Tamandua tetradactyla: one gene and its partner. The protein of the gene in region 2 purifies or fractionates together with the protein of the main gene of each other region. This does not show direct contact. Links are inferred from orthologs where the notes say so. Each region holds a gene or a part of one and is shown on either strand. Other genes may lie near its edges. The genes, in order: PSME4 and PSMB2.

Region 1 (12,453 bases), on a different chromosome or scaffold from region 2:
GATGCTGAGTCCCAATTCATTCTAGGATTTCTGTCCCACATTGCCAGGAAGGTCTAAGCCCCTGGGAGTTCTGTCCCACACAGAGAGGGGGAGGGCAGTGAGTTTGCTTGTCATGTTGGCTGAGAGAGAGAAAGAGAGGCCACATCTGAGTAACAAAAGAGGTTCTCTTGGGGGGGGGGTGACTCTTAGGCCTAATTTTAAGTAGGCTTAGCCTACCCTTGGCAGGGTGTTAAGTTTCATATGAACAAACCCCAAGATTTGGGGCTCAGCCTACTGCTCTAGTTGTCCCCACTGCTTGTGAGAATATCAAGAATTCTCCACTTGGGGAAGCTAAATTTTTCCCCTCTCTCACCATTCCCTCAAGGGGACTTTGCAAATACTTTTTTATTCACTGTTCAAATCACTCTGGGATTTATTGGGGCATCACTCTGGACAACCCTACAATCTCATGCCCTACTCAAGGTTCCATGTACTATGAACACTGGAAATATTTACAAATGAAGTTACAATTGTTAAAAAATGGTGGGGATGAGGTGGAGTGAGATAATGGAAGAAACAAGATTGACCATGAGTTGATAACTGTTGAAGACAGGTGATGGGTACATGAGGATTCATTATAGTCTGTCTTCTTTGTATATGTTTGATATTTTCCATAATAAAAAATGTTTAAAACAAAAAACTAAATAAATGGTATTAGAAAACTGTTCAAATAAGAATCACACATTTACCCACTGACAAGATTCTGGCAAAAATAGCCAATGAATTATTAAAAAGTAACTAGTGAGGCATAAATTGATAAGATATTTTAAAAGAATGATTAAAGGTAGGCCATGGAGGCTCATCAAGCAGAGTTCTTGCATGCCATGTCAGAGACCCGAGTTCGATTCCTGATGCTTGCCCATGTTAAAAAAAAAAAAAAAAAAAAAGAATGATTAAGAGGGGTTCTTGCAAATTGATATTATTTTGATAAATTTTTGAAAAAAATGTGTTAGTGCTATGAAAAACCAAATAAGCAGGATACCTTATTCTATTATTACACAACTTTGTCAGAAGAATTCATGTCCCACAAAGTAATTTAATTCATTTCTTTGTTTTTTCTATGGAAAACCAACTTTTTCTGCTACAAAGAAATTTTGATCCCCATTTAAAATGTGGTTACTTAATAATGTAAATAAAGTAAATATCGTTACTTAATAATAAACTTTAACCCCTTTGGTTCTCACTGATGAATGTGATAAGTTGTCAAGATTTCAAGATTCTTTCACAAAAAAGCACTTGTATTTATTGCATACTTCAATTTCCTTACTCAAATATTAGATACCCTCAAAAGCATCACATTTCAGAACAAAGAACTGAAATTCAGCAGTTAGCATTTTGTACTTTTTCCTCCACACCAAGATGATATTAAACTGGGGACTCCTGTGGTCACTTATTACATTCCTCAAGAGGAGGTCAGTGTATTTGAGAACTCATACCTTGACTAAACTTCAGTGTCCAGTGGGTATATAATCAACTTATATGGTTTCAACTAGGATAATCCAATTTCTATCCAGGAAGGCTACATAATGTTCTTAATAATAATTAAACAACTGTGATTTCATTCTAAAGGGAACCACAATTTAATTAGTAAATGAAATGATTCCTCAGCATAATGCATTCATTTCATTATAAAACAGCACAGGCTATATAACACCTCACTGTAACAAACAGGAATGTAAATTTACTTCATATTAAACTAAAGTCACATAAAAACTTGACTAAAATCAAAATTCTGTTAAAAAAAAAAAAGAACCAAAGATAAAAATGATCATTAATGGGGTAAACTTGTAGGAAACACAGTAAAAGCCCATTCCTTTTCCTCCCTCTCCTTTCCAAACCAGTTTAAAGGAACTCAGAGCTAGATACAGAAAGGCCCTTTGGGGCCATCAAGCCCAATGACTGTTTTCAAACTGTACTTTGGAGCCCTGAGCAGACTTCAGGGATCTATCATCAGTAATGTTAAAAGAAAAATGTCAAAAAAGAAGCAAAATGTCAGTGTGTATTTAATCTAAGAAGCTCAAGTTTATGTTTACAATTTTATTTTTATAAATAAAGCAGTCCACTGTTAAATTTGAGTTTGAAATACCACTGGAAAGGTTAGGTAAGATCTTGAGTATAGACATACTGAGGTCTTGTGATCAAATGACAATAGGAGAAAACCCAAGTTTCAGGATTATCTTCTCCAACTCGCTTCATTCTTTACATGGACAAGTTACCTACCTAGACCCTTCACATAGATACCTTTTACTTACAGTACCCACTAGCTGTCTACTGCTTTCTAAAGGCCATTAATTTGTGCCTCCCTTCTCTAATTTGTGTCAACTTCTCTAATTTGTTTCCTCCCTTCTTAAAAACTGGCCCTGTGATATATTACACCACTCACTCTCTCATTAAGAGGCAGTTCTAATCCTTTAAACTACCTGTACAAGAGAACGTGTATTATTTCAAAGGCCCCATTTTTAAAATACACAGATACAACCCTTCTTCCCAGAGATGCTAAACAGACCTGCAAGAGTAAAAATGGATTGAAGCAGAATTAGTTAACTACTGAAATGGGGTAAAATGTCAAAAAAGGGGGTCAAATGTAGAACTCAATGTTAGGAGTACACTCTTCTGGTCTAATACCCAGGCCCAGAACTTCCAGAAGGGCATTTACACCCTGGTCTTTAGAAATGTACTGGATCTATGCAAGTATTTCCAGTATTTCACAAATTGCTCGAACAGTCCTTGTAGAAAGATAACCTGGCTTATTTCAGGCTTTAATGGATATAAAAATAAAATCATAGAATACTAGAGCAGGAATGGTCCTCAAGAATTATTTAGCCCAATCCTCTCATTTCACATAACTTCTACCACAGTGTTAGTGGCTGAAACTAGATCTTTTCTTCATTTCTTTAAATCACTTTATTTAAAAAGATACCATGAAACTAGATTTTATTTACATATCTCTCCATTCTTTTTAAGAGGACTAAATATAAATATGATCACCATGTCAGGTAACTGACAACTAATATCACATATCCTGGCATTATTTAGATGTAAACTTGTGCAGCACAGAGGGCTTAAAAAACAAGCACAACTATAAAAAGTTCACCTTAACATATGACGTAGGAAAAAAAAAACACACCCTAGATCACAACATGTCCCACCAAGTTCAAAATGTCACATAATGTCATCTCAAGAATCAGTTTGCAGTATTTAACCACTGTTCCAAAATAAAATTCTACATGACAGCTTTCTTGCACTTATTTAGCTTTAAATGAACAAGGGTCCATAAGAATTAAGCCATATAACTGCAATGCTGCTGTAAACTCCAAGGGCTGTCTTCACTATATTTAGCCCTTTCTAGGTAAACTGAACAAAGGAAAAACAAAGACCTCATGCTAATTTACTAAACCTAATAATGAATATTTTAGAAAACAATGTTCAACTATGCCTTCGTAGATTCTAGGTTCATAAATCCCAAACAGATATGCATTCTCATACTGGATTACTTATATATTGTACATTGAAAAGAGCTGTTCGTGTCCACAAAAATGGTATTGTCTGGGAAGTCAAACAGAATGGAAATTACTGAAGCTGACAATATAATTTTATTTTTACTATGCCTGAAAAACACAAACACCTAGGAGGCTCACTTGAATTTTAATCATTTATAAAAGATTCTTCCCATTTTGACTAAAAGTGGTTCTTCTTTCTGTTGCTTTCTTCTTTACTCCTAAATCTTCTACGGATCCTACAAACCAAACTTCTTCACGCTCTAGTCAAGAGAACGGATACCTTTTACGAACACTTTTTGAAGAGGGCAAGTTGTTTTTAGCTTTGTTTTTTAATTAAAAAGGTAAATTATTCCCATCTCCCTAAGAGGAAGGGAGAAATTTGTCACATGCACTAATAATTGGCAAATAAAAATCATTCCTTGGTGAAAACTGGAGAAGACTATTGCATTACAAAACCCTGAGTCATCACCCAGTTCACTCAGCAGATTTGGGTAAACATTGTCTAAGTTACATATCTTGTGCACTCAACCATCCATAACCTCAAGTCTGAACATACAATGTTACCATATTTTATGTACAGTTAATCAAACATGCTACAGTAATATTCTTTTTTTAAAGTTCTAACAGTGAAGAACCCCTTCTAGCGAATAAAGTCTCTAGCCTTTTCCCCCCACAGCAGTTTTTTCTAATCTCAGTGACACTATAGTTTATAGCTAGTTTATGCATTTTTAAAAAAGAAGGAAAAAGGAAGAGAATTCCAGCAAATGATTCCATCTGAGCCACTCAAAACTTAACACAAGTCTGATACTAATAACACCTTGGACAACTTGACAGCTTTCTTACCTATTTTCCTTAGCATTGTAAAGATCTTTCCAAAGGAAAAGTCACAAGGACGGTGACATACACTTACCCCAGTTCTAGACTTAAGATTAACTTCTAGTCTATGGCCCAAGGATTCGCTAAGAGCTGATTTGAAACCAATCGTTTCAACAAATCCACAAGAACTCCAACCCTCAACCCCCAAATGAAAAAGAAAAGGAACTCCGAAGTTTTCCTACGGCCTCCTTCCCATTCAGAAACTGAGAGCAGAAAGTTACTAGACGCTAACAGAGGGATAAGAGGCGGAGACCGTAGGGGAAGAAAAAACCGGGGGAAGTCAAAAGTTCCTCCCTCAAAGATGAATCCTCTCTACCTACAAGCAAAGGTCCAACGTGTACCCTCGAGGATGGCTCATCTCTTCCCCTTGGGGCACTGTGCCCTCCGGCTCTCTGGGGCCCCACAGATCAGAAGACAACAACCCGAACCCTTGGGGAGAAGCAGTTAGGGAGGACTTAGAGAGGTCCCGTAGGAGAGTGGCAGTAGGTGGTCTGGGTGTGCCCCGGCCTCCGGGGATACTGCACAGGACCACCGGCTAGAGATCGGGCAGAGATGGGGTCCAGTCGTGCGAGACCCCCGTATGCCTTCCCGCTGAGCCTTTGCCTCCAGCCCCCTTTCCGGGCACACTTACGTGGAGAGTTTCCTGGTCCAGAAGAGGCCTCCGGGCCATAGCTCTTGGAGCTGCACGGCCCGGCCCAGGTTGCTTTTGATCTGGGCCAGTTGCAAGTCGGACTCGGCGTCCAGCCGCTCCGCGTAAGGTAGCAGCTTGTTGTAGACGATCTCCTTCTGCGGAACGTAGGCCCGCGGGCAGGGCCAAGGACGCCCGCCCGGCTCCGGGGGCTCCCCGCCGCCCGCCCGCTCGGCCAGTTCCATGAGCCCAGGGACACCCCACCAGCCCCTCCCACCCTAGCCCTCCCCGACCCCCTCCCCTCTCCGGGTTCCGCCTCCTCCGCGTCGTCGTCCCCCTGCGGCCGCCGGCGGCCCGTCACCCTCGGCCCGACCGCTGGCTCCCCGCGCGGTCCCGGGTTCGTTAGCGGCGGCAGCGACAGCTCCGCCCGCCCCACACCGGCTCTGCTGGTGACGCTGCAGCCGCCGGGCCCGGAGGTTCCGGACAGACCTCTAGTCACTTCCGGGGCGGGGCGGGGCGACGGGACCGGGTCGGAGGCGGCCGCGGCGGGAGCCCGGGGGGCCGCGCCTACTCGCCACGGGCCGGGCTCTAGCCCCCACCCCCGGGCCTCACCGGCAGCGCGCGAGACCGCCCCGCCGGAAGCACGAGGTAGAATTCCAAGCTATTGTCCTGCCCCGCCCGGGCTCGCGCGCTGCTGGCGGCGGTCCTTGGGAGCCCGCAGTCGCCGTGGCCTGCGGCGAGGGAGTCGGTCTGGGTCCCCACGCTGAATTACCCCTACTTCACGGCTATATAAGAGTTTCTGGAAGCGCCTGTGTACCCTGTAACCATCTTATTTGTTACTTAGAGATTTTTACTTTGTCTCTTTTAAGCCTTCGTCTTTCTGGTCTTCCGGTAGCCATCAGTCCCGAGAAGAGAACAGTTAAGTCATTGAACGCGTCAGGCTCTCGGTTTAGGCTCTTGACAGGGAGAGTTTTAAGAGCACCTGGTTCCTGCCCTCCAGGGCCTTACAGTCAAGGAAATGTGCAATTACAAGACAGTGCTCTTAATTGCTAGGAAAGTATAGGATGCCTTGGAAACTCTGGATAGTACAAATTAGAGGGGTGTCAGGTGGGTCCTAGAGGTGATATTTAAGGTTTGCGTGCAGAATTGGTGAGGAATAAAAGGGAGAACATACATTCCAGCAGAGGGAACAGCTCAGAGGCTGCAAACCTGCACTCTGCAAATTCAGAGAAGTCAGGAATGGTTGAAGATTGCTCGCGAAAGGAGGAGCGTGGAGTAATAAGACTGAGAAGGAAATGCTAGAGAATTTGGCATTTTATCCTAAAGGCAACAAGAAGCTTTTAAAGGATCGATTTTTAGCATAGGAGTGGCATGATGTGATTTGCAGTTTAGAAGATACCCTAGCTTTGTGTGGGGAATGAATTGCAACTGGCAAGATGGTAAACTGGAGGATCCATTAAGAGTCTGTGCCATGATCTGGGTGACTTAATAATGGCCTCGATGTCAGTTGAAATTACTTTGTCAAGCTTGGTAGTTGATTGAATGTGAAGAGTGGAAAAGAAGAGACAGGGTGATGGCAAATTTCTGACTGAAGGATGTGTTCACAGGGATAGGGAACACAGGAGCAGAAGCAGGTTTAAAGACAGAAATGACAAAATGCCTATGGGATGGGTAGATATTTTGACATATGGATCAGATGGAATAAGAAATAGAGAATAGGACCCTTGACAGAACCTTGAAAAACCCTGACATTTAAAGATGGGTAGAGAAAGAGGAGGTAGCCCACAGAGAATACTCAAAAGAGCAGTCAGAGAGAGGTAGTAGGGGTTCTAGGAGAGAGACCATCAGTAAAACCAGAGTGTTTCAGATAGAGGAAGTGATCAACAGTAGCAAACAAGACTGGCAGGTCAAATGAAAAGAAACCTGAGAAGGGTTCCTTGGAGTTACTGATAAATTACATAAGAACAACTTTGTGAAATGTAGAAATGGAAACTAGATTACAGTGACAAAAGATGAATGGAAAGTAAATAAACAAAGGCAGCAAATGTGCATAATCCTTTTGAAAAGTTTGGATGGAAAGAACAGGATAAGTATAAGGATGTATCAGGAATGAAAGTGAGTTTTTGAAGGTGGGGTAAATTTACATATTGATGAAAAGGGATGAATGGAGAGAGAAAGGTAAGCTTTGTGGGTCAGGATAACAGTGGGAGGGGATGTGAAGGGGCTGGTCCTTACCAGGAAAACCAGACCGCTTTCATAGTCAGGAGGAAACACGGAAAGGATAGCTGCGGGCAGATGGAAGATTTGCAGATTTAGTGGCTGGAAGTTAAAGTACATTTCTGATGGTTTCTTTTTTTGTTTGAAGGAAGACAATGAGAGTGATAGGGAAAGTGGTGGGTAGGAGTTGTGAGGAAATTGAACAAGGGTTAGAGTAGTCTCAAAAATCAGAAAATTGATTAGAGAAACACAGTAGACTTGCTTGGCATGGAGAGGTACCTAGTTAAGGCTGGAAGCCTGAATTTACTATCATCTCTGTGTACAATCCACTTATTTTCTCCAAAAGTGTTTAATAGCCCAAGATTGTATGACTGGTATGACACAATGACAAAGGAGCAAGAGAGTGTTTTCTGTTTTGGTGGTGATAATGGAATACCACTTATTGAGCACTTTTATCTGCCAGCATATTAACTACACTGTTTTATTGAGTACTCTCTGTAAATATAGACACTTGATTTGAGAATATCTGAAAGGGAGTGATTAACATCTTAAGTTGTTTGAAGCCTTAGGAAGGAGAGAAGACTGATAGGGGAAGAATAAGGGGCCGAGGCATGGCAGATCCTGAGGAGGTAAAAGGACAATATTGAAGGATTAGTTTGAGCAAGGGATCTGAAAGAAGGGGAATGTTTAGTATTAAGATTTCAAAGCGGTTCCAGGTGAGGTCAGGTTCCTAGGAGTGGATATGTGAACTGCAAAAGTCAAAAAAGTCTTTGAAGCAAAAGAAATCAAGTCTCTCTCTACTATTTATTGTACCTGAAAGTTTAATAGAAAAGACTGTTGAAACCCCTTCTAGGTGAGAAAGTTGAAAGAACTTATGTTTCTTTGGGTCATCTAGTCTACTCATCAATGGAGACAATAACCCAGAATCTAGGGTTTTTCCTCTCAGTCCTAATACCAAGCACTTCTTATTTCTTGGAGCCCAGGATACCTCTGTCAAAGTCTAACTGCCCATAGTCCTTTCATCCAGACCTTAAAGAGAACATTGGCTTCTTATCAGACCCCTCAAGGAAGCAAAATATCATTTCCCTCTTGGAAGACCCAGAAAGTACAATACACCTTCTTGGAAAATATTCTGAAAAAAAGGTTACCCCTCAAGCTGAAGGAATTGGCAGGTGTAATTATCATTAAGTATTTGTTTTTATATTATTTAGCCATAAAAAGTAATGAAGGTATCATGTTGCGTGAAATAAGCCAGGCAGGAACAAATATTGTATGATCTCACTCACGTGAAATAATTGGAATATGCAAATTCATCAAGTCAGAAATTAGAATACAGGTTACAAGGGGCAGGACTTGAGGTAGGAAATGGGGAGACAATGTTAATCGGTACAAAATTTCTGTTAGGGGTGAAGGAAAAGCTTTGGTAACGGATGATGTTGATGATAATACAAGACTGTGAATCTAGCACCACTGAATTGTATACCTGAAAGTGCTTAAAATGGGAGATTTTCTGTTGTATAGATGTTACCACAATAAAAAAAAACAAAAAAACAGGCGTAGAACTGTTTTCCATAAGCGTGAACTCTAATATAAGCTTTGGGCTTTAGTTTATAATGTAATTATAATCATATTGATTCATCAATTAAAACAAATGTACCTACTATCTAGGACGCAATGTTTAAGAAAACTGTGTATGGGGGGGAGGTGGTATATAGAAACTACTTTTTACATGATTTTTCTGTAAAATCACAGCTGTTCTAAAAAATAAAGATATATGTTTGGTATAGTTATTGTCCCACTTCTTAATAATCCACTTAGTAGCAACTAATGGAATAAAGATATATTATTAATGTTATTTCTTCACCTGCTGTAGTTTTCCCTCTATATGATATACTTTGGGCATGGAGAAAAATTGGCAAGTGATTGAATCACTGTTGCCAGGTGCATAATCTTTAGAAATATTTGAATTATAATGACTCATTTTTCCATCTCAAATATCCACATTCTTGCTGTGTCACACATCAAAGGCACAAGAACACTGACTCTGAGAAATGTTGAGAATTTTTTTCTGATTCCTATATAATTTTCAAGTTTTGGATTTTTCATCCAAAAATCTTTCTCGTACTATCCACTTCATTTGAACTAGAGTATTTTTGGAGTTCAATTTTTAATAAGGAGAGTGGAGCTAAAGGAATGATTGTTATTATGATTATTTTATATTTTTCTCTTTATTAGGCATTTAGCCATTTTACTACAGTGTAGCTAGTACAATGTAGTGGGCTTATTTTTATTTATATTTCATGGGAAATTTATTTCTTGAATCAAAAGATTCATATACTTCATCAGTTACGCAAAATTTTCAACTGTTTACTGTCCAAAATGTCTTCCTCCCACTTCTCTTCCTGTAGAATTCTTCCTGCTAGTCATATGTTGTAACTTCTGATTCTGATTTCATATCTTTTACATATAGTTTGCAAATCTTTGTCTCTCTACCTCATTCTGGATAACTTTCTCATTCTGCTGTTAGAGCAATCTAATTGCTGAGAAGTTTATTAAGATTAAAAAATCTTAAATTGTAAGCCACCAAATTTTAACTCCAGTTAATTTCTGCTGGTCATTCTTTCTTCTGGAGTAATGTAGAATAAGGTTAGTCTCTCCATATAAAAATACTTAAAAAAAGAAAATACATGCTATGACACTTCCCTTAAGTCTTATACCTGAGATAAATATATAATTGTTTTCTTCCTTGTTCTTTGTATGACTTTGTTATCAAGCTCTTTCATCTTTTCTCACCCTTTACAGATTTTGCACTGCTGTACCCTCTACCTGGAGAGCTCTTTCCTCCCCCATACTTTTCCAGGCTAACTCTCATTCATCAGATAAACCTAGAGATAACTTTCTTTGGAAAACTTTCTCTGACCTTCTCAAAAAATGGATTAGATAGCCATCACCTCTTGGGTGGTGTGTTGACCTCTATTAGGAACTTTTCATAGTGTATTATAATTTTCCTTTTTTTCTCTATCTTTCCAATTTCTTGCTCTCTGGTAGCGAAACTTCTTAATTACTGATTCCACTCCAAAGTTTAGAAGTTAACTAATTATTTGTGGAATAATCAGAAAATCAAAGAGTGAGGAAGGATGATAAGCATCCGTTTCTCAGTTTCTTTACATATAAAATGGAATGAGTAGTAAAAATTCATTTGGTTTGATGTGTATAAAAATTAGTACTCTCATAAAAGTCTCTAATATTTAAGAAAGTTTCAGATAAATCTTGTTTATTATTGTTTGTAATCAACTAAAATTCATTTATTTTCCACATTTAAACAACAGCAACAAAAAACCCAAGTCATTTGCTGTTTCCAGGCTTAGTACCTGCTCCAAAGTTGATGCAGAGTCAATTCCCACACTTACTGCTTTGGTTTTTCCTTCCTTTTCATGTCTGACATGTAAGGATTTTCCTTTTTTGTGTGAGTTCATTTGTTGTTGTATTTATGTTCAATCCAGCATTTCTATGTAAGAGGGTTTCTGTCCTGGCTTAGGCTGCCATGCCACTGGAACTGAAAGACTCTTAAGGAATGACCTAATTCTAAAGTATCAGGCATCGTTGGAAGCAAAAGGGAGCAATTGTGAGCAATTAAGAGTTCTCCTTGAGTCCCTGAAATCATATCACAGAGGTGGCCATTGGTAATGCCTTTCTAAAAGCCAATATTTATCTAGTGATTAAAAAATAATTTATTATTTAAAAAATATTTTGTTGATATTTAAGTACAAGATTCAGTACCACTGAAGTTCGTGTTTCATTTTGACAAGCTGGGAATGATATAGTTTACAACTTCCCTTGTAATAAAAAACAGTAAAGAGATGTATATTTTAATGGCAGTTGAAAAAATTAACAATAGATGTGATAGATAATAATACACAAAGAGAATGTACACTCTATCCACCTACTCCTGGTTTTTGAGTATATAAATAGAACATGCCTTACTCATAGGCAGAGAATGGATTTTCTGCAAGTGTAATTTGAATAGGTAGCAAAACACTCACACTTGATCTGATTCTTGAAATGCTTCTGTTTGCCATCTTTGTACTAAGTAGAATCTTTTTTTGAACTTATAGACGCATAAGAGAGGCTGTATATCAAATCCTTAATTCTTTGGAGTGAATTATGTATTCATTAATTCAATAAGCATGTATTGGATGCCTCCTGTGTGCCAAGTTTGAGGTCATGAGATGAATGACACCGTATTTGTCCTCAAGGAGTTCACTGCCTAGTGAACTGACAGACATGTAAACAACTATATTAAAATTTTAACCAAACATCAACTAGGATCTCCCTACCCCTTAAGGCCTCTAGACAAAACTAATTCAAACTCCCTTCCACAGACTGGAAAATTCAGGGTCAGGCAATATTTACGGAAATTTTGGAGGATTGGATTGCTTGTATTTTTATAATCACTCCAATTTTTATAATCAGCTCCAAACTTTTGCTTATACTAAACTAGTTCCCTTGAGTGATCATCTTTATACTTAGTGAATTTTAGAAGAGACCATTAATGTCAGAAACAAGACAAGGATGCTTGTTGTTTGACACAAATTGGGCCAGATTATGCTGCGTTAATAAAAAATCTCAGAGGTTTAACATGTATTATTCCCTTATACTATATTTCATCTCAGGTTAGGAGAAGGTCCTATTTTACTTTGTCCTTACTCCAGGACCCTGGCCGTTGGAGCAGCCACTATCTGGAAAATACCCAATGAAAATGTATTCGTATGTTCACTGAAAGGCATGTACTAGAATATTCATAGCAACACTATTAAAAAGAACCCAAACAAGGAACAACCCAAATGCCTATCAACAGTAAAATGAATAAATGGATAAGTTGTGATATATTTGTAAATGAAATATCATATAGCGGTAAGAATAAAAAAGTTATAAACAGTTCAAAAACAATATTGAAACAAAAGAAGCCAGACACAAAAGAGCATCTTCTGTATGATCCCATTCATATATAAATATATATGGCTCAGAAACAGGCTGAATGAGATTTTTGTAGGTTTGGCCAGAGTGATGCCCCGATAAATCCCAGAGTGATTTGAACAGTGAATAAAAAAACATTTGCAAAGTCCCCTTAGGGAAATGGTGAGAAAGGGGGAAAATTCAACTTCCCCATGTGGAGAATTCCTTATATTCTCA
Region 2 (11,588 bases):
CGAGGAAGCCGTTGAAGATTCCTGCAGAGAGAGCTAGCAGACGTCACCATGTGCCTTTACAGCAGAACATCACCGGCCTTCTTAAACCAAAGTATCTTTCCCTGAATGCCTTAATTTGGACATTTTCACAGCCTTAGAACTGAAAACTTGCAACTTAAGAATTCCCCCTTTTAAAAGCCATTCTGGGGCGGGCCGTGGCAGCTCAGCAGGCAGAATTTTCAAGCCTGCCATGACAGAGACTAGGGTTCAATATCCGGTGCCTGCCCATGTAAAACAAAAAAAGCCATTCTGTTTCAGATATATTGCATTTCAGCAGCTTACAAACTAGAACACCAGTACTTCTAATATTTTTGATATTTAATACACCATCATTTTTGCAAGAAAATATTTAACAAATTGCATTATTTTTAAAAATCTGTTCCTTTTTTGAGGGAGAAAACTATTTACAAAAGATTTATGTCACATTTAGAAGAAAGGCTAAAATATCAGAAACTGCTTAATTTCAAATGAGACAAATAAAAGACCAAAAGTGTTTTTTAAGCATCTATTGTATAAACAGCAAGTAGTAGGGGAAATGCTAATAGCTTTCCTGAGTTGTACAGGAAACAGCCTGTGTAGCTCTAGGGAAGTTCTGGTCCTCTATAAGGAATGTACAAGATCCACAAACATGAAACAAAAGGATAAAAAAATGAACACGCGCATGTAAAGCTTTGAGAAGCCATCTGGACCCCAAAGACCTTGGTTATAATCTGAGCTCAGCATTCCAAACTTAAGACAAATTACTTGCTATCTTTAAGTCTATGTCCTAACATGTAAAACAGTCATATCACTAACCCCTGCCTAATTCACAAGTGAGGAAAACAGTAATAATTCTTATACAGGTATATTACTATACTCACTGTTACACAATGTAGTTGAGATTATATGTGTTATAGGAATTCAGAGAACAGAAAGTTCTGTGCGGGTTGGAGTACTCTGAATAATTTAAAAGCAATTCTATACAAGCCAGGAGGCAAGAGATATGAGATAAAACACATAACCAAATCAAGAGTTGTACCACTTAAATAAGCAAGCAATCTTTGGGAACAGTCTTCTCTATAGTACCAAAACATCTTACAAGACAAACTGATTCCAAGTATTATTTTCATTTTATAGTTGGAGCAAATGAGTCCCAAAATGGGACTCATTTTCAGCATTCTTGCCTACCCTGCATAAGTTCTTTCATGAAATGAAATGTGGGAGAAAGAGTCCTCATGTAATTCCAAAGCTCTATCTTAAAAATTTATGCCAGGGTAGGTGATGGTGGTACAGTGGCAGAGTTCTCGCCTGCCATGCCAGAGACCTGGATTCAATTCTGATGCCTGTCCACATAAAAAAAAAAAAAAAAAAAAAAAATTTATGCCAGAAAAGATTACAGGGATAACTAGAGAAAGCTGAGTATAAGTATTTTCAACCATTTTTCAAGAACTAATTTAAATTCTTTTCTCCATAACACAATGATCTTTCCTTTCCCTGAATATTCCCAAATACTTTTGGGATTTACTGCTGAAATCATTAATTTAAAATCTAACCTAATTAGACTTTATACCAAAAGCATAAGCACCAAAAAGAAAAAACAGATAAATGGGACCTCATCAAAACTAAAGAACTTTTATGTATCAAAGGATTTTATCATAAAAGTAAAAAAAAAAAACAAACAAACAAACAAAAAAAACAACCTACAGAACAGGAGAAAATATTTGGAAACCATATATCCAATAAGGGTTTACTATTCAGAATATTTAAAGAAGTCCTTCAATCGCAAAAAAGCCAACAACTCAATTTAAAAAATGGGTAAAACCTCCCCCTGTCTACGTGGGACATGGCTCCCAGGGGTGTGGATCTTCCTGGCAAGATGGGACAGAAATCCTAGACTCAGTATCACTGGAAGGATTGAGAAAACCTTCTCAACCAAAAGGGGGAAGAGCGAAATGAGACAAAATAAAGTGTCAATGGCTGAGAGATTCCAAACAGAGTCGAGAGGTTATCCTGGAGGTTATTCTTACACATTAAATAGATATCACCTTGTTAGTCAAGATGTAATGGAAAGGCTGGAGGGAACTGCCTGAAAATGTAGAGCTGTGTTCCAGTAGTCATGTTTCTTGAAGATGATTGTACAATGATACAGCATTCACAATGTGACTGTGTAATTGTGAAAACCTTGTTATCTGATGCTCCTTTTATCTACTTTATCAACAGACGTGTAAAACATATGGAATAAAAATAAATAATAGGGGAACAAATGTTAAAATAAATTTAGATTGAAATGCTAGTGATCAATGAAAGGGGGGATAAGGGGTATGTTATGCATGAATTTTTTTCTGTTGTCTTTTTATTTCTTTTTCTGAATGATGATCTAAGAAATGATCATGATGATGAATATGCAACTATGTGATGATATTGTGAATTACTGATTATATATGTAGAACGGAATGATCATAAGTTAAGAATGTGTGTGTTTGTTGTTACATTTTTTAAAAATTAAAAAATTAACTTAAAAAATCACTAAAAAAAAATGGGCAAAAGACTTGAATAAACATTTCTCCAAAGAAGACAGAGAAATGGCCAAAAAGCATATAAAGGATGTTCAACATCATTAGCCATTAAGGAAATGCAAATCAAAACCACAAAGAGTTACTATCTGCAGAATGGCTACTATTTTTAAAATGGAATATTACAAGTGTTGGAGAGGATGTGGAGAAATAGGAACACTCACTCATTGCTAGTGGGAATGTAAAATGATATAGCTGCTGTGGAAAACAATTTGGCAGTTCCTCAGAAAGTTAACTACAGAACTGCCATATGACCCAGCAATCCCACTTCTAGGTATACACCTAAATGAGCTGAAGCAGGGCCTCAGACAGACATTTGCACAGAGATGTTCATACCAGCATTATTCTCTATTGCCAAAAGATGGAAGCAACCCAGTGTCCATGAATCAATGAACAGATAAATAAAATGAGATATATACATACAATGGAATACTATTTAGCGGGAAAAAAAAAAGGAATGAAGTTCTGACCTGATAAAATGGATGAAACTTGAAAACATCAGGTTGAGTGAAATAAACCAGACACAAAAGGACAAATATTGTATGATCTCGCTGATTATGAAATAATTAGAAAAAGCAAATTCAGAGTCAGAAAATAGAATACAGGTTACCAATGGCCAGGGTAGAGGTAGGGAATAGGGAATTGTGCAGAATTTGTTTGGGGTGATGGAAAGGTTTTGGTAATGATTGTGGTGCTAGTAGCACAATACTATGAATGTGATTGACACCTCTGAATTGTATAATTGAATGTGGTTAAAAGGGGGAAATTTCAGGTTATAAATATGTTGCGTTAATAATGGAGGGGTATATGGGAACTCTATATTTTCTACTAAAAAAATATATATATTAAAAACTAACCTACTATGACTAATATGTCTTTTACCATATGTAATCATGGTGCAGTATTTATTGCTTTGTGTCATGCCTTGAACCCCTGCAGATATCTCATACACTGCATCCCTTACAACACCTAAAAGTACTGTGTACATAAGTAGTCTTCAAGCACGTTTTGCTTTTCAAAGTGATTGTACACACATTATTATAACAAACTTGTAAAGGTACTGATTTGGTTATTGCTCTACCTAGACACATCATCCTGCTAAAATCATTCGATTGTCAAAAGCCTTAGCATTAAAAATAACAGACAAATTTACTCTCAAACAAATATTCACTTCTTTGGAAAAACTAGTTTATAAACAAAACTTCTACAAACTAATCTTGGAATTTCATGAAGTAATTTCTTGAGGATCAATCCACAACATAGATACTTTAACAAACTACTTTTGGGATCCTCTCTCTATGTTCAGAAAGAAGCAAACACAAGCAAAGCCTCTCAGAGGGCTTTCCATCTCCCCAGGTGATGAGAGCCTGACAATCAGATGTCTGCAGCAGCAACAATGGACACTTCTTGCCTTTGTTCACGCACTTCAGGAAACTCCAGATTTAGTAATGCTTCTTTCCTCAAACCCAAGATGAACTGTCATCTGCCCTGAAAACTTTCCCTAATCTCTACAACCAGAAAGACTCTCTTCTTCCTCTGGATTACCTGAGAAATTTGAATATACTTTTCACATGACACATGACTTTCTAGACTGCGTTATAATTATTTGAAAACATATTTAAATCCCTTATCAAATTATAGTATCTTGGGTGGTGCAATGATGGCTCAGTGGCAGAATTCTCGCCTGCCATGCCAGAGATCCCGGTTTGTTTCCCAGAGCCTGCCCATGAAAAAAAAAAAAAAAAAATATATATATATATATAAAATATCTTTTAAGGTAGGGGCCACATCTTATTCTTCTTTGCATCCCTCAATACCTAGCACTGTTAACAGCCATACATACAGATGCTCAAAATTTATTTGTCAAAAGAGCATTAAACCAACTGTAACCCACACCAAACTCTGAAATCTGTTGTATAACTGTTTGTTACAATGTACTCTGAAATTCATTGTTTTTGTTTATAAGTTATTTACCACAATTTTTTAAAAAAGCGCATTAAACCATCTCTAAGACCAAGCATGATAATTTTTCAACAGTACCCATTTCTATGATCAATCATGAAAACACGATTTCACGGATCAACAATTAAAATATTTTTTAAATTATTTATTGAGTACTTACTATAGAGAGAAAGTATGATACATAGTTACAAGCAAAATGTCTGAAGTCAGATAGCACAGGTTTGAACCTGGGTTCTGCCACTTGTGACCTTGGGCAAATTTCTTCTGTGCCTCAGAACTAACATTTGTAAAATGGAGACCTAATAGTACCTGCGGCAAAGAGCTAAATGAATTAATGTAAATCGTTTAAAATACCTGGTATATAATGTGTTTAGTACTATTACTCCTAAGTATTTGTCACTGTGCTAGACATTTGCACATAAACCTATCTCACTGACTCAGTCCTCACAACAACCTGTGAGATTGGTATTACTTAATTTTACTGAGGAAGAAAATATCTGGGTACTGCGAAGCAACTCGTACAAAGTCACAAAGCAAATATATGATGGGGCTGGATTCGAGTCTCCTAAATCCACTAATTACTTAACTATAAGGATATATTAAGTGCCAGGGTCCTCAAAACTAGAAAAGGAGCATCAGAGCTGAGTCACGGGAAGATACAGGCAGCAGTAGGGAAATGCCAAACTTCTAGACCCCACAGTGTCAATGTCCCCAGCATTCCACCTTATGCTGCCTGCAAATTAACCTCCTGAGTAGCGACAATAGGAACTTTATCAGCAATTAGGGGCTCAAGGAAGTCCGGTGCCCGGCAGACGCTTAAACACTTATAAACGGAATTCCCTTAGGAAACTCTCGCTTAACAAGCCTTTAGGGAAGGCCAGTGCACAAAGCAGGAGGAGCGAATGAAAACCCCAAGGCTTGTTTACCCATCTCCACAGTTCTAAAAGATAAGGAAGTGCAGGCAGGACTAGCCCCACCTCCCTGACCTTCCTAGTACACGTACCCCAATCCCCGACGGACTCCCACCCGCAGCTCCTACACTCTGGCCCGGCCAGGCCTCCCCTGCTTCCTCTCACCGTCCTTCATCTGGACAATATTGCTGGCCGCCACCCGGTCGGAAGCAACCAGGACATAGTCGGGGCCCTGGATCCCGATAAGGTACTCCATGGTGGCGAAAGGCCAAGAGCTACAGGTTCAACAGAGCGCGGGGCTCGCGGGCTTCTTCCCCTCTCCGGTGAGACAGCAAGACACAGGCCGCGACAAGAGCCCAGCTACGGGCGCTCTCGGATGACGTACAACTGTCGCGAGAGGTTGTAAAGTGGGCGTTGCGTTAAGAGTAACTCTGAGCTGTGGTGGGTTTACGAATTCGTGTCCTTTGCCGGTGCAAGGAATAGATGTCTCTTACCAGACTCTTTTCTATAAATTAGGAATTTTAAGACTCACTTGAGGATGAAATCACTCACCATAGGTAAAATGCTGAACTCGTGGTGGGTTTCGAAAAGGGGTAGGGCCATTTACTTTTGGGGCTCAGTAAAATCTCTGGAAATCCCTTCCCTTGCAAGCTGTATTGAAGAGAAATAGAGTGAGAAAAGGCCTACTTACATTCTCCACAAAAATACTTTATAGTTCAATTAAAGATCTAAGCATTAAGACTAAATTAATAAAAACCATTGCAGAAACACTGCAAATATAAATGAGTTCTTGTATGAAGTACCTCAAAAGTATGAATTTTGTACAAAGAGTCAATAATAAAAGGTTATGGGGGAAAACCACTATTGCAAGTATGGCCTATATTTAACAGGAAGACATCAACAGTACTACAGCAATACAAGGGGTAAATAGTTGGGGTGAGGTGGGGTGAGGTGGGGTGGGGTGGGGGGGTGGGGGGGGTCCGGGGGCGTGGGTGGGAGGGTTGGGGGTCGGGGTGGGGGTGGGGTGGGGGGTGGAGAAGGACAGGAGTTAAGGGGAGGTTTGGACTTTCTGTTTGGTGAGTGCTGGTTTTAATCCGTGGTGTACCCCAGAAAACCCATGTCCTTTAATCCTCATTCAGTATGCTGGGTGGGAGCTTTTTTATTGTACCCATGGAGATGTGACTCACCCAATTTTGAGTGGTAATTTTTTATTAGATGGGTCTCATGGAAATGTGTCTCCACCCATTCAAGGTGAAGTTGCTTGCTAGAGCTCTTTAAGAGGGAACCGTTTTGGAAAAGGCTTGAGAGTCATGCAGCCAGAGACCTTTGAAAATGAAAAAAGAAAATATCCCCAGGGGAGCTTCATGAAACAAGAAGCCAGGAGAGAAAGCTAGCAGACTTTGCCATGTGCCCTCCCAGCTGAGAGAGAAACCCTGAATTTAATCGACCTTTCTTGAGTGAAAGTAACCTCTTGTTGGTATCTTAATTTGGACATTTTCACAGCCTTAGAACTGTAAACTTGCAGCTTAATAAATTCCTTTTTTAAAAGTCATTCTGTTTCTGGTATATCGCATTCTGGCAGCTTGGAAACCAGAACAGTGAGGGTGTGTTTATCTGTTATTTTTCTCTCTGGAACAATGAAAATTGTCTAAAATTGAGATTGTTGATGATTGCACAACTAAGTGAGGATACAGTGAGACATGGATTGTTTACTTTGGACATTATCCGTGATGCCCAATAGATGGAGGTAACTGAAGGATACATTGAGAAGTAGAATGGCAAAACTGTGGTATATACGTGTGATGGAATATTTTGCAGCTTCGGAAAGGAATGAAGTTGTGAGGTATGCAACGAGGTGAATGAACCTTGGGGACATTATATGGTGTGAAATAAGCCAGAAACAAAGGAACAAATAGTGTATGATCTCTTTTAGAAAATACTTATAAGAAAATTGGGACCTAGATTGTGCACTCTTATAGCAGTCACATTTAGTCTGGAGCTGTAAATGTTATTTCTAAATTTGGAGAGGCTGTGCTATATATGTATAAGCTGGTACTTGGGTACCTGTGTGACACCTAAATCTCAGAGTTGCAGTTCTGTGCTCTGAAAGTCAGCACTACTACGTAAAACAACTGTTAAAGAAACCGAAAAAGAGATCAGGCTTCAATTAGAGGTAAGAACGAAGCTGATCTGGTCAGGACTAAGTTAAATCAGAATACAGGGTAAAAGATGACATTGTCTGTATTTTAGAACTTTACCTACCGTATAAGACCAAAGGAAGAGAAGTTTATTTTGTCCAAAACTTCTGCAGCACATTATCTAATTCAATCTGTCTGGACAGCACATTTAAACAACCCAAACACATGGAGCCCAGAATGGGAATAAGAGCTTTAGTTTTGTAGAACTTAATGCAATACCCAGATACATCCCAGAGTATGTCGGGCAGATAATTCAAAAGTGTTGGCAAAGTCCCTTCAGGGACTGGAGAAAAAGTATGGAACTATTAAACTTTACCAGCTGGGAAACCCCTGATACTGTCTCAAATATTAGGGACTCCCAAATTAATAGGCCAAGCCTTTGATTTTGAGGCTTGCTGTTATGAAGCTTATTTGTGTAGCAGAGAAGCTAAGTCTACCTATAGTTTTTCCTAGGAGTTACTTCTAGAAAACCTCATTAGTTGCTCAGATGCGGCCTTTCTCTCGCTTTAAGCCCAATTCTGCATGTAAAATCATTGTCCTCCCCCCTACATGACATCCAGGGGTGAAAGCCTCCATGGCAACGTGGGACACGACTCCCAGGGATGAGCCTGGCCCTGGCACCAGGGGATGGACCAAAAGGGGAAAAAGAAATGTAATAAAATAAGGTCTCAGTGGCTAAGAGAAGTCAATTAGAATTAAGAGGTTATTCTGGAGGCTACTTTTACACAAGCTTCAGCTAGATATTGCTAATTACTACAGTTTGCCAACCCCCAACCAAAACCATTCCTGTAACCCTAAAGAATACCTAGAGCTCTGACAGTCTACAAAAGTTTCATGTACTAAGATTACTTGCCAGAAACTGACAGCCTCCAGATGATTTCTAGGCCAGATAAGTCGTGAAATGCAGAGGGGCCATCCTATCCAAGAACATCAACTAGTTCTATCCCCCTATCCCATTTTGTCACCACCCCTTTCCAACATGAAAAAGTTAGAATGGGCATAGTCCAAATACCCCAAAGACTTGGAGAACTGGGCAGCACAATGGGGGCTCAGTGGCAGAATTCTCGTCTGTCATGCCAGAAACACCTGGGTTCAGTTCCTGGAGCCTGCCCATGTAAAACAAACAAACAAACAGCAAAAAAAAAAAAACACACACACACAACTGGGACAATCACAAGAGAAGGAGGAATCATAAAAGAGAAGATACTATTTAACAAATTAATATGACTGCTGAATCATTATACTGATGCTTCTTTAGTGTCTCTAGTGTCTTGGAGCAGCTAGAAGGAAAACCTTAAATTGTGGAACTGTTTTAGTTTGCAAGCTGCTGGGATGCAATATACCTGAATTGGAACAGCTTTTCTAAAGGGAATATAATAAATTGCAAGGATTACAATTCTGAACCTATAAAAATGTCCAAACTAAGGCATCCAGTAAAAAATGACTTAATTCAAGAAAGGCCAATGGGTCTGGAACAGCTCTGTCAACTGGGAAGTCAAGTGGCATCTTCTGTTCCTTTGCTCCTGGGCTCTGTTGCTTACAGCCTCTATTCCTGTGGGGTTTCCTCACTTTGCTTCTCTGGGGCTGGCTTACATTTCTTGGCTTCCCTTGGCTCTCTCCAGCTTCTGGCTTGCTTAACATCTCATGGCAACGTCTCTAGGCCCCAAGCATCTACAAACATCCATGTCTCTGTTCTCCAAGTGTTGGCTTCTGTGTCAGTTCTGCTCTGCAGTTTCTGTTGGCTCTGTCATTTCTGAGATTTTTCCAAAATATTTCCCCTTTTAAAGCTCTAGTAAACTAATCAAGACCCACCTGGAATGGGTGGAATCACATCTCCATCTAATCAAAAGGTCACACCCACAATTGGTGTGTCTCGTTTCCATGGAGATAAGCTAATCAAAACTTTCCATCCTACAGTCTTAAATTAGAATTAAAAGAAAAGGTTGCCCCCACAAGATTGAATCAGGATTAAAACATGGTTTTTCTGGGGTACATAATATTTTCAAACCAGCACACGTACCAAACTCTGAAATCTGTTCTGTAATTACTTGTTACAACATACTTCGAAATTTATTGCTCTTTTGCATAAATGTGATATTTCAAAATAAAAAATGTTTTTAAAAAAATGGAAAAAGGGTGGGTGATGGTGGCACAGTGACAGAGTTCTCATCTGCCATATGGGATACGGCAGACCCGGGTTCAATTTCCAGTGCCTGGCCATGTAAAAAAAATGGAAGAAAACAAAGACTATTTCCATAATCTTTGGAAGGCACATATGTCTCTGACAGAAGCAGTGGAGGAAAAGGCCAATAGTTTTGACTACATAAAATCACATGTCATTATAATGTTCAAAGATAAATATAAATTGAGGATATTTATCAATGTATTAAGTAGTTAATATCCATAAGTTAACAATACTGTGTAGACAATGCTTAGATGAAGAAACATGGCCTTTCATACCTTCAGTGTGCAGCAAATCTGTTTACATTCCTAGATAAATAACAAAACAGCATTAGATTTTCTTTTGGGCAATGAAGGGAGAATCTAGGCCACTGCTAACATTTCAAATTGCACGTAGGTTAATACTACAGGCGAAATGGAACAATCTACATACACCTAAACTAAAAGAATAGCAAATCTGGTAGACCCAAGTTATTGTTTAAACATGTTTTCTTGATTAGGACTGAGAAATCTTGGGTCGTATTTCCATAGTGCTTTCCAAACTCATAATATTTACAGTTATTCTTGATATTTATTGTCTAGAGTTTTAAATTCATTTACATGGATTAAATCATGTTGATTAACGTGAAAAAAAATCAGTCCTTTGCAAATAAAGCTTCATCTTCAAAGAAACAACAATGGTAAATATCTGAATAATTCTTGCTGGTTTCTTTTGTAGTTTTAGATAAGTGAAGCCTGTAAAAGAATTGAGACTTTAAAAGTTTCCATATTTTTATGAAGAGACAGATTGTTCTGAAGCCACAGTATCAAACTGGACTCCTTTTTAAACCTATGAAATCAATAAAAGACACTTCTACACCCGTGGTAACAAACAGTCACCAGAATCTGTTTTAAACCCTTTTAAACCAATCGGCAACAACTCACATCAGTGAACATGCTTTTGCAAGTCAACCATTCAGAAACCAGGAGCTGGTTTCTGAAAGTCAGCCAGTCAAGATTTGATGCATCTTAATGAATATCCTTCTGAATACTAACCAATGAACAGTCTCACCCAAGTAACCGTACTTCTAAAGATTGTGTCAACCCACTTATACCTTTGAAAACTCACCAATCTCTGAATTTCATGCTTTCTTAACACTCTGTTTTAGATTAACTCTGTTTAAGATTGCTCTGCTTAGAGAACTTGTGCCTGACCAGTATATATTTAAGTAGTAATAAACTAAACCTTGCAATTTTCATTTTATATATATAAATAGTCTCATCTATTGACATATGGAAGTCGGCTAACAACTTCAGGTTGCAGTATAAGCATCCTTCCACTTAGGTCATGTGACCCAGCTGATTGCATGTTACTAGTGGTGTCAATGGCAGAGAACAATGAAACATGGAACTTCTGGCAGTGACCAATGGGAGAATTGCAACACAGACCCCCTGAATTCTGAAACAAGGCCATAGCATCCTGGTAGAAACAGAGTGTCTGATCACAGGACTTCAAATGACCAAGTGGCTTAAACTTCCAAATATGAATTGGGTTCTATCAAAGCCATCACGTTACAACATCAGGTGAGCCCAGCTGTAATCCATCATTAAACGAAGATGGTACATCTGGGATCAAAAGGGCATAAGTAAACTTCATGAACAACTTGGCAGGAGTAATTGACCTAATCATTAGGAAAAGATAAGTCTGCTGATACATAAGGAGGACAGGGGGAATATGTTTGACACGCAAGTGTTTCACTGGGGAA

Evidence for each region.
Region 1: the proteins of PSMB2 (region 2) and PSME4 purify together in Homo sapiens (affinity purification with mass spectrometry; 3 studies listed by BioGRID and IntAct, counting the BioPlex papers as one, with this or other methods). This does not show direct contact. The link is inferred for Tamandua tetradactyla from reciprocal best matches to the Homo sapiens genes PSMB2 and PSME4.

What each region holds. Positions count from the first base shown.
Region 1 is NC_135343.1:26,260,611-26,273,063, forward strand, and holds the start of PSME4 (proteasome activator complex subunit 4), read right to left. Parts: upstream 5,304-12,453; 5' UTR 5,289-5,303; coding exon 5,047-5,288; intron 1-5,046. UniProt on the Homo sapiens protein: Associated component of the proteasome that specifically recognizes acetylated histones and promotes ATP- and ubiquitin-independent degradation of core histones during spermatogenesis and DNA damage response.
Region 2 is NC_135328.1:189,730,253-189,741,840, reverse strand, and holds the start of PSMB2 (proteasome subunit beta type-2), read right to left. Parts: upstream 5,847-11,588; 5' UTR 5,721-5,846; coding exon 5,630-5,720; intron 1-5,629. UniProt on the Homo sapiens protein: Non-catalytic component of the 20S core proteasome complex involved in the proteolytic degradation of most intracellular proteins. This complex plays numerous essential roles within the cell by associating with different regulatory particles.